Ovis aries: one gene and its partners. The protein of the gene in region 3 purifies or fractionates together with the protein of the main gene of each other region. This does not show direct contact. Links are inferred from orthologs where the notes say so. Each region holds a gene or a part of one and is shown on either strand. Other genes may lie near its edges.

Region 1 (3,749 bases), on a different chromosome or scaffold from region 3:
GTGAGTGCCAGACAAGAACCAAGAAAACCATGTTACAGGTCTAATCTCTGCCACCAACGACCTATGTGAGACCCGAATTTCTTCTCAACTTGAAGTTCTATGGTGTTCTCTGCCTAACATCGTACATGCTTGATAATCGCTTAATATGACTGGCTGGGTTCAAGATTTCAGGCAGAGGCTCGGGGTCTGCAAGGAAAAGGCGACCAAAGTTTCTAGCAGCTTAGAGGCTTTGCAGTGCAGACGTGCGAGGATGGGGTCTAAGAACAGCGCCTGAGCAGTGCAGAAATGAAGAACGGGGCAAATAACTCAGCAATTGTGGGATATCGTGCCAGGCACTTGCGTTCTAGACTTCACAAGGAGCATTCAGAACACGCAAAACGAGCACCATTTTTTCACGAAGACAGGACCAAGTTTCCGTTCAACAAAAATACCTGTGACCACCCCCCCCCCCCCCGCCCCCGCCTCCCCACCAGACCCTACAGCCCAAGCAAAGAGCTCGGCCCCGGGCTTATTTACATCTCGGACCCCGCCCCCGTTTACCACCACGAGGGCCGCGCCCACTCATTCGCACAGGGTGCCCCACGCGTGGGTCCAGGACGCAGGCTTTGGCACACCCCTCTTCGGCCCCTTAGCTCGCCCACCGTCGGGGCCTCCCACCCCGAGGATAAGCACGCCTCCACTCCAGGCTTGACTACAGAGAAGGTGGGCCGGGCGGCGGCTTCCGACAGGCCCCACCCAGTGGTGCCGGCCAGAGACGGGGACGGAGGACCAGCCGCGATCAGGACGGAAAGGTGGTCGCCCTCACGGCAGGTTACGCGCCTCCCCTCCCCGCCCCCCACTCCCTTTCCCAGAGTTTCCCGTGCGAGCGCGCCAGAGAAGAAGCCAACCGAAACCGCGGGCATCCCACCCCGCCTAAGTCCTCCGCCGCCCGCCCGGCCGCGCCTCGCCTCACGCTCTACGGGGGAGGCGGGACCAATCAGAGAGCGACGTCTCCCTTCCGATTCGAGGCCCCCGACGCGCGGCTCACACCCCGAGCAGCCAGCGCGCTGATTGGCTGCGTGCGCCGCCGGTCCGGCCGGGAGGGCGGGGAGGCCGGAGGGAAAGGAGGTGGGGAGAGGTAGCGGCCCGCGCCTCTCAGAGCCCACAGCTCGCGCCCTGGCCCTAACACGGGCGCTCGGGCCTAACCCCTTCTCTTTCTTCGCTGCCCGGGTCTTCCGCGCGCGCCCCCAAGGCCGCGCGCTCGGCCAGCGTACCTCGCGCCCCTAACGGGCGTCCGGGGGCGCCAATCAGCGGGCGGCAGGGTGCCAGCCCCCCGGGGCTGCGCCGGCGAATCGGCGGGGCTCGCGGCCCGGGGTGGGAGGCGGGGCTACCGCGCGGCCGCGGCGGCGGCGGCGGCGGCGGCGGCGGAGGAGCAGCTCCCAGCCACCAGCCAGCGAGCGCCGAGCGAGCCGCCCGGAGGTGGGTGCGCCGCGCCGCTGCGGCCGGCGGCGAAGGGCGCAGGGCGGAAGCGGAGGTGGGGCCGGCGGGCGCGGCGGGGGAGGACGGCTCGGCCGTCGGGGGCCGCCCGGGTGGGGGCGAGGCGGGCGGGCGCGCGCCCGAGGGGAGGAGGGGCGGCGGTGGCGGCGGCGGGACGCGCGTCCCCATCCCCTCCTCCCCGCGGGCGGCGGCCGGGCCCGCGCCGCCCCCTCTCCCGTCCCCTCCCCGCGCGCCGGGGCCGCCGGCCGGGCTCCGGCTGGGGGGGCGGGGCGGCCGCCAGAGTGTTTTCAGTTCCGCCTCCAGTCGGCCCATTCCCCTCTCCCCTCCCGGCCCCTCCATCCCTTTCGGAAGAGGAAGGAACAAAGGTCCCGGACCCCCCCGGACTCTTGACGGGGCGGGACCCGGAGCCTCGGTCCAGGTAACGCCGCGGCGCCCGGCGGGGCCTCGGGGCCGGGGTGTGTCTCTGTGGGGCTCGGGGTCGGTGAGGCGGGCCGGCCGCGTCACCTGGCCGGGCCGAGGGGCCGGGGTGTGGCGAGGCGCCTGGCGGCTCGCGGGGTGCGGGAGTGCGGGGCGGGGCGGCCGGGGGGACGGGGGTCGGCGCTGGGAGCCACCCGCCCGCTCGCCCGCCCGCCCGCGCGCGCGGCCCGGGGCGGGGGCCGGCTGTGTGGCCCGGCCCGTCCCCTCCTCCTCCGTGGCGGTCACCCTCGGTAGTTTGTGGTGGTGATTTTCAAATCCCGCAGGGACGAGGCTCTGGTTTCGGGGACTTGTTGGGAAGCCCGAGTTAGGAGCATGCGAGACTTTGCTTCCACTCCCCCCCCCCCCACTTCCCTGGTGCTGTAACCTTTGTTAACCATTCTGGTCTCGGGGTTCAGAATCGCGAGCGTGTGCTCTCACACAAACACGCACACTGCTGGTACTCCGTCCACATAACTTCTCCACTAGCTTGTGAAAGTTGCTCTTGTGAGCGGAGCCTATTAGTTTTAGTTTTTTTTTTTTAATCACACGCCTTTAGAGAGCAAGCTAATTGATTTCAACGTATTTCAAACTTGGTTTTCAAATCCTGCAGCTTTAATTGTTTTCTTCTCTCCTGGGGAATACTGCCCTTAGATTGAGTACTTTTGTTTTCTACTTACTTAATCCTTTCGTGGTTAATGGTTTCCTTTTGATCCTGAACAAAAGAAAAAAACAGTAGTTAGGTTGGTTTTGTTATTCCTTCCTCTTGACCCTTAAAAAAGCTAAATACTGCCGGTTTGTTGTCAACTAACCCTTTATTTAAAAAGAGACGTTTCCAGGTAAAACGAAAATGAGGTAGCATTTTTCCATCAGTCTTGTCATGTTTGTTACAGTTTGGGGTTTCCTAAATTGTGGTGTTTTAGCACGACACAGCTAAATTTGTTGTGAATAAATAAATGATCTCGCGAACTTGCTTGGAGTAATTGCATCTTTTCAAAAATTCCATCTTCTGGTTTCATATGAATTGAACCTTCACCACTGATTGTAAGGGTGCTTTCCTTGAGACAAATAGATAATACACTCTATTATTTTGATAATACATTAGCTGTTCTAGTTTTGATCCCTTAAAAAAGTTAGGGTTAGGGGGTGTGTAAGGTAAATAGTTAAATTTGGGAAGTTGTGAACAAGTAAATGAAGCAAATATTCTAGAGATGAAAGAAATAATGTAAAGTGGGCCTCATAAATGTGTCATAGTTTGAAGATGTTTTTTTATTTGCCTTAAAAAAAAGTACCATACAAGATATTGATAGAATTTTCTCCACCAGAAGTTCATTTAGCAAACATTTATATCAAAGTCAGAGACCAACACTGATTTTATTTTTAAAGTTTCTTAAGTTTTTTTTCTGCTGTAAAATTAGTTGTTGTAGTAAATAAGAACAGTTCAAATCTATTGGCATTTCTAAGATGAGTGCCCACTTAAACCCTTAATGTTAAAGTTGAGTTTGAAGTAGTTCATTGGTCTATTTTAATTAATGTAAGGTGTTCGGAAACATCCATTCTGGGCTTTTTTTTTTTTAGTATGAAAGTGCTGTTAGAACTTGGTTTTTATACTTTGTAGCTATACCTTCTAGTGATTTCACATTCTAAGTGTTCAGCAAAGTTTGGCTTTTTAAAGTTGTAACTTACCTGTATCTAGTCATAAATGGTCAAATCTCTGCACACACATCTGTAAGGTTCATGAAATAATAGTTTGCAAGAAACTGTGCAGAGTAATTTCCTGTTGTTTGTGGCTTGTCAGGCTTGGTATGTGCTTTAACTCT
Region 2 (3,749 bases), on a different chromosome or scaffold from region 3:
AGGTACAACAGAAAATTTTTGGTCCAGATGTTGTTTACTTGCGAAGTCATGTCTGACTCTGCGACCCCATGGACAGCAGCATGCCAGGCTTCCCTGTCCTCCTTCACCATCTCCGAGAGTTTGCTCAAACTCATGTCCATTGAATCGGTGCTGACATCCAACTGTCTCATCCTCTGTTGCTCCCTTCTCCTCCTGCTGTCAATCTTTCCCAGCATCAGGGTCTTTTCCAGTGAGTCAGTTCTTCACATCAGGTGGCCGAAGTATTGGATCTTCAGCTTCAGGTTCAGTCCTTCCAATGAATATTCAGGGTTGATTTCCTTTAGGACTGACTGGTTTGATTTCCTTGCAGTCCAAGGGACACTCAAGAATCTTCTCCAGCACCATGGAGTCTGCGAAAGCAAAGACATCTCTTTTCTTGTTTTGTATGGACCCCTTTCCTAGTTTTCCTGTGTTGGCAGCCATAGGAAAACCTGGTGTTCAGTGGACATGTGGGTAGGAGAGGGTTCACGCTCACGGTAGGGAGCTGTCAGTTCTTCAGATGTAGAGCAATGCACCCTGAACCACAAGGTCCCCCCATGAGATTCTGCAGCCATACAGATGTGGGGTCTCTGCCCATTCTTGCTGCCTCTCTGGACACTTGTCCATGCCTGCAGAGACACCCATTCAGCTCCCCGGGGCAGGAATGCTGGTTTGGGGCCAGTTTCCATCTCCAAAGGGGAGTCAGGAGCAGTAAGGTCCAAGCTGAAGGTCACACAGGCTGAAGTGGGTGGGCCCTCTCACCTCTGCCCAACACTGTGGGCCCCCCATGTGTCCTCCAGTGTCTGGGCCAGCTTGGGTGCCCCGGTCCTTTGGAAGAAAAGTCGCCACTGCCTAGCTGGGCTGGACTGTCCCTCTGCCCTTGAGTTAAGCACAACCAGAACTGTCTTCTAGATCTCAAGTCCCAAGCTCCCAGGACTCTGCTAGACACTGTTTCCTCTGGGGGCCACCCGGTCAGCCTGTCCAACCTCAGGCCCTTGTCTTGTCCCACCCAGCGCTTTCTGGTCTGTCTGTCCTTCGTGATAGAGCCAGGGTGCAGAAGGATGGACAGTGTGATCTCACACTGGCCCTGCCCTGGGTGCCCTGCAGATGTAAAATGGCTCTTTGAGCCTGGGAGCTGTTGGGTAAGGGTAGGGCCAGCGTGCTCGGGGCACGCAGGCAGGAGCCAGGTTCCTGAGAAGCCCCGGCCTCATGGTAACCTGGACGCAAGCCCTGCCCTGGAACTGGCGGTGGGCGCACAAAGTAGCTGTGTGGGGGACCATCGAGCAGGGTCGTGGGGTGGTCGGCCCTGCAGCCAGTCATCCTTTGGGGGTTGCTGTGTTGCGCCTGCATTGCTCGGGGGGACCCCCAGAACAGTCTGCACGGTGCCTGTCTCCCGTGTGGGGTCTCTGGGGTGTTGCCATCCTGTAGTAACCCACGTCGTCTGGCTCGGTGTCCTAGTCCTGCGTGGGACTTGGGTCATATTGCCTCGTCACGTGCGTGGGGACCCGGGGGGCTGGGCCGGGAGGCGTGCGGTAGAGGGTGCGCCGGCCCCATCCGTCCGCCCCTCAGCTGGTTTGCGGTTGTGGTGGGGGGGCCCTGTGTGGGTTTCTGGGCTCCGGCGGCGACACGGCGGCTGGACGGGCGCCTTCGCAGCCGCGCAGGAAACAGCCTCCACCGGATGGGGGGCCCGGGGCGCAGCCACCGCCCCCGCCGAGCGGCCTTCCGGCGAGCGGGCCCGAACGGAGCCGAACGGAGCTGAGTCCCGGACGGGCGGGGCCGAGAGTAGCCGAGCGAAGCCGAGTCGCGGGCGGGCAGGCCCGAGACCAGCCGAGCGGATCCGAGTCCCGGGCCGGAGGGCGGACCCGAATGCGGCCGAGTGAGGCGGAGCGCCGAGCGCGGGCGGGGGGAGCGCGCGTTCCTGGAAGAGCCTGGCCGGGGGGGCGGCGGGCGCATTCCTGGCTGGCGCTCGGCTGAGGCCGACGCGCGGCCCCAGACGACGCTCGGGGCGGGGCGGTGGCGCGGGGCGGGGCGGGACGCGGGGCGGGGCGGCGGCGTGAGCTCAGCGCCGGGCGCTCAGTCCGAGCTGGAGCGAGCCGCCGGGAGGATGTGCGCCGAGCCCCGCGCCGCCGCCGCCGCCGCGGTCTGAGGCCGCCCCACAGGCGCTCCGCCGCCCCGGAAGCCGCGTGCGCGGGCGGGCGGGCGGGTGGGCAGGCCGCGGAGCCGGGCGCGGGCGGCGGGGTGGGTGCGGGCCGGGCCGGGAGGCCGGCGGCGGGCGCAACGCGGCCGGCCAGCGCCGCCGGGACGAGCCGGGCGGGCGCCGCGCGGTGGGAGGAGCGGGGCGGCGGCGGCGCGCCGCGCGAGGACGGCCCGGCGGGCCCCGCGCCCGCGCCCCCGCTCCTCCCGGGCCCCTCGGCCTCGGCCGCCGCGGCGATTCGCGCCTCGCGGCGCCGGCACCTGCCCGCGCGCCCCCCGCGAGCCCCGGGCCCGCGAGCGTTGGCGTTGGCGTTGGCGGCGCGCGCTGGGGCATGCCCCGCGCCTAGGGCCCGGGGGGCGCGCGGGGGGCGCGCGGGGGGCCCGGGCGGCGGCGGGCGCGGCGCGGGGCGCGTGGATGTGGCGCCGGGCCCGGGCGGCGGCGGCGGGCTCCAGCGGCGGGACCCCTTCGCCCCGCCCGCCTTCCCCTTCGGGCCCCCGGGCGAGGCCGAGGCCGCGGCCGTGATCGGCCGGGAGCCGGCGGCGGGGGGCGGCCGGGGCCGGGGCCGGGGGCGCCGCCGGGGCGCGCGGGGCGGCGGCGGGGGCCGCGGGGGCCCGGGCACGCGGGAGCGGGAGCGGCCTGGGGAGCCGGAGCGCACCATGGAGGCGGCGGCGGGCGGCCGCGGCGGCTTCCAACCGCACCCGGGGCTGCAGAAGACGCTGGAGCAGTTCCACCTCAGCTCCATGAGCTCGCTGGGCGGCCCGGCCGCCTTCTCGGCGCGCTGGGCGCAGGAGGCCTACAAGAAGGAGAGCGCCAAGGAGGCGGGCGCGGCCGCGGTGCCGGCGCCGGTGCCCGCGGCCGCCGAACCCCCGCCGGTGCTGCACCTGCCCGCCATCCAGCCGCCGCCGCCCGTGCTACCCGGGCCCTTCTTCATGCCGTCCGACCGCTCCACGGAGCGCTGCGAGACCGTGCTGGAGGGCGAGACCATCTCGTGTTTCGTGGTGGGCGGCGAGAAGCGGCTGTGTCTGCCGCAGATCCTCAACTCCGTGCTGCGCGACTTCTCGCTGCAACAGATCAACTCGGTGTGCGACGAGCTTCACATCTACTGCTCGCGCTGCACGGCCGACCAGCTGGAGATCCTCAAAGTCATGGGCATCCTGCCCTTCTCGGCGCCCTCGTGCGGGCTCATCACCAAGACGGACGCCGAGCGCCTGTGCAACGCGCTGCTGTACGGCGGCGCCTACCCGCCGCCCTGCAAGAAGGAGCTGGCGGCCAGCCTGGCGCTGGGCCTGGAGCTCAGCGAGCGCAGTGTGCGTGTGTACCACGAGTGCTTCGGCAAGTGCAAGGGGCTGCTGGTGCCCGAGCTCTACAGCAGCCCAAGCGCCGCCTGCATCCAGTGCCTCGACTGCCGCCTCATGTACCCGCCGCACAAGTTCGTGGTGCACTCGCACAAGGCTCTGGAAAACCGGACCTGCCACTGGGGCTTCGACTCGGCCAACTGGCGGGCCTACATCCTGCTCAGTCAGGACTACACGGGCAA
Region 3 (2,514 bases):
GCAGCTCATGTATAGAAACAAAGTTGGAATAATTGTTACTGTAGTTGTTGTTCTTAAAATTCTTGAGATTTTATATAATTTGATTCTTCAACTGTGACAGTTAATTATCTTGGTCATTAATACATTACATTGCCCAAAGTATTAATTTAATGTAGGTATATAATCTTGAGTAGGGAGGTTTTTTTTTTTTTTTAACAAAAGAGAAAATGCTTAGTAACTTCATAATATTACTGAAGTATTACATGTATCATTTGTTTAAATGCCACTGCACTTGTCATAAAATAAACTTTTGCTTTTTGTTTTGTTTACTTACAATAGACGCCTTCCCTGTATGCACCTTTTCCACCAAGTGTGTGTTGACCAGTGGTTGATCACCAATAAGAAGTGCCCCATTTGCAGAGTGGACATTGAGGCCCAGCTGCCAAGTGAAAGTTGACACCATGTTTCAGAACTCTTACCCTCCCTCTCATTCCCACCCTCCTGGTACTGCAGTCAACCAAAGATGGCATGACTTACCTGCGCAGATTCGGAAGCCTTGAACTTAAGAGTGCTGGCTCTGCTACATGGTACAACTAATGCTAGACCTACAGTTTATGTATACAGTTGATTTTGATGTATTTATAAAAGCTTTTTTTTTTTCTAGATTTGACATTTTTCCTGTATCATTTTACTGTATTTTTGCATGGTTCCTTGTATTGCATTTCTTTGCACATATTATGGGCTTGTGACCCTAAACTTGCAGGCAAGATTAGCTGCTTTAGTAAGTAGAATTTTGTGGTCTTTTTGGTTTTTACATAGTACCAGGTCTTGAGAATTATGAATTTTTTTATCCATTACTAACGTTTAATTTAATCAATCATGTACTTTAGTTTAATGTATAAAGATCCTCTAGAAAATGATAATATTGTGTATTAAGACATTCCTTAATTAGGACAAAATGGCTGCTGTATATTTACAATATGGAGTTCTGAGTTCAATACCACCCTTGATACCGGGAACAGAATACAAACCATTTTCAATCAGATGCAGGTGGTACTCACATCACCAGAGTGATCAATAGAATTCTTCTTGGTGTATCCTTTTCCTTTTAGCACAATGCAGATAGAGTTGAATATTAATACCATACATTTAGACTGCTGTTCCTATTGTATTTATCTTTTTCCTCCATCATTTAGAACTTTATTTCCCAGATCCAATTTTTGCTGCTGTGAAACAGCTCTGATGAACACTAAATATTAATTTCAATTAGCTGGATTGTATATACTTGCAGATTTAACAAAATTTTAGGGAAATTGAAGAAGACATGTAGAATTTCACTCAGTCTTCTGCTAAGCACGCGTAGTAAAGATATCTGCTTACATTGATTTTTGTAAACACATTTAGTCAGGATTTAGAATTGCAGTCATTGGCAGGTATCTATGCATTCATAGAACTTCTAAAGGTCCCAGAATCACTTTTAAAGGGATTTTTATTAGTTTAAAGATAAATAAAGTCAGCTGAATCTACATGTCTCTTGTTTTATTTCTCTTTAAGCTTGAAAACAGTAAATCTGCAGATACTGTGAGGCACAAATTATACTGTCAACCTACTGTTGCTCTGGTTTTAGACTCCCACTTCATACATTACCAAGAGTCGATCACTGATTTAAAATTTTTAATTTCTATAGTTAAGATTTACTGCATAATATAGAATATTAAAGTTAAGTTAATGTACTAACATTTCTCTTTTGGAGAAAGTTTTAATCCACTTCAGGATGCATATTATCAAGATACTTTCATATACAGGATAGCCTAATTTTATTTGTCTAAATATGCTTAATATGCCCCAGATTGCAAATGCATCAGTCAGTAACATCACTGTCTGTATGTGGAAGACATGTTCCCATGGATCATATGTGAAGATGTCGATAAGCTTGCATTAAGCCACCTGCTTTGTAAGTGGATTGATTAATAAATAACTTATATTTCTATTGTCTTTGTGTTTCATAATTCATTTTTATAAAACTGCCTACATTGAACATTATGGGATTCAAAAACAGTGATCTCACTCAGGTTGACATTTGCCTAATTTTGTTTGTATTCATTCAGTTATGGCTACTTGCCTTTTTTTTGTATTAGTGAATGTTACACTGAGTAATTGTCAATATCAACATGCTTCAGCATAGTAGGTGTTAGAGATCAAGGGTGGATTATGGTTAAGAAAATTGGATATAAAATAATACAATTAATAAGAATGCTAGCAGCAGTTGTGAAAGGGTTGTGGGAGGGGTGGCAAGACAGAATGAGAAAGAGAAAGAGAGACTTTGCCATATTACTGGGGAGAAGAGCTAGTAGCCCATATTCTGCTGGCCTAGATGTAGGACTTTACCACTGGAAAACCTGTGGTCCAGGCCAAGGGATAAAATGGGGAGAATTCTATACAACGAAGTCCTCTTGATGCTCCCCAAAACACAAATACATACAGATTTCTCTATTTTTTTATTACATCAGATTTAGATGCACAACTAAATTGTTG

What was found.
Region 1: the proteins of RNF111 (region 3) and SMAD2 purify together in Homo sapiens (affinity purification with western blotting, with the first as the bait; 3 studies listed by BioGRID). This does not show direct contact. The link is inferred for Ovis aries from reciprocal best matches to the Homo sapiens genes RNF111 and SMAD2.
Region 2: the proteins of RNF111 (region 3) and SKI purify together in Homo sapiens (affinity purification with western blotting, with the first as the bait; 3 studies listed by BioGRID). This does not show direct contact. The link is inferred for Ovis aries from reciprocal best matches to the Homo sapiens genes RNF111 and SKI.

The regions. Positions count from the first base shown.
Region 1 is NC_056076.1:47,914,044-47,917,792, reverse strand, and holds the start of SMAD2 (mothers against decapentaplegic homolog 2), read left to right. Parts: upstream 1-1,355; 5' UTR 1,356-1,458; intron 1,459-1,754; exon of another isoform or gene 1,755-1,894; intron 1,895-3,749. UniProt on the Homo sapiens protein: Receptor-regulated SMAD (R-SMAD) that is an intracellular signal transducer and transcriptional modulator activated by TGF-beta (transforming growth factor) and activin type 1 receptor kinases.
Region 2 is NC_056065.1:49,878,534-49,882,282, reverse strand, and holds the start of SKI (ski oncogene), read left to right. Parts: upstream 1-1,227; coding exon 1,228-1,317; intron 1,318-1,587; coding exon 1,588-1,894; intron 1,895-2,011; coding exon 2,012-3,749. UniProt on the Homo sapiens protein: May play a role in terminal differentiation of skeletal muscle cells but not in the determination of cells to the myogenic lineage. Functions as a repressor of TGF-beta signaling.
Region 3 is NC_056060.1:49,377,567-49,380,080, reverse strand, and holds the end of RNF111 (E3 ubiquitin-protein ligase Arkadia), read left to right. Parts: intron 1-318; coding exon 319-436; 3' UTR 437-1,974; downstream 1,975-2,514. UniProt on the Homo sapiens protein: E3 ubiquitin-protein ligase. Required for mesoderm patterning during embryonic development. Acts as an enhancer of the transcriptional responses of the SMAD2/SMAD3 effectors, which are activated downstream of BMP.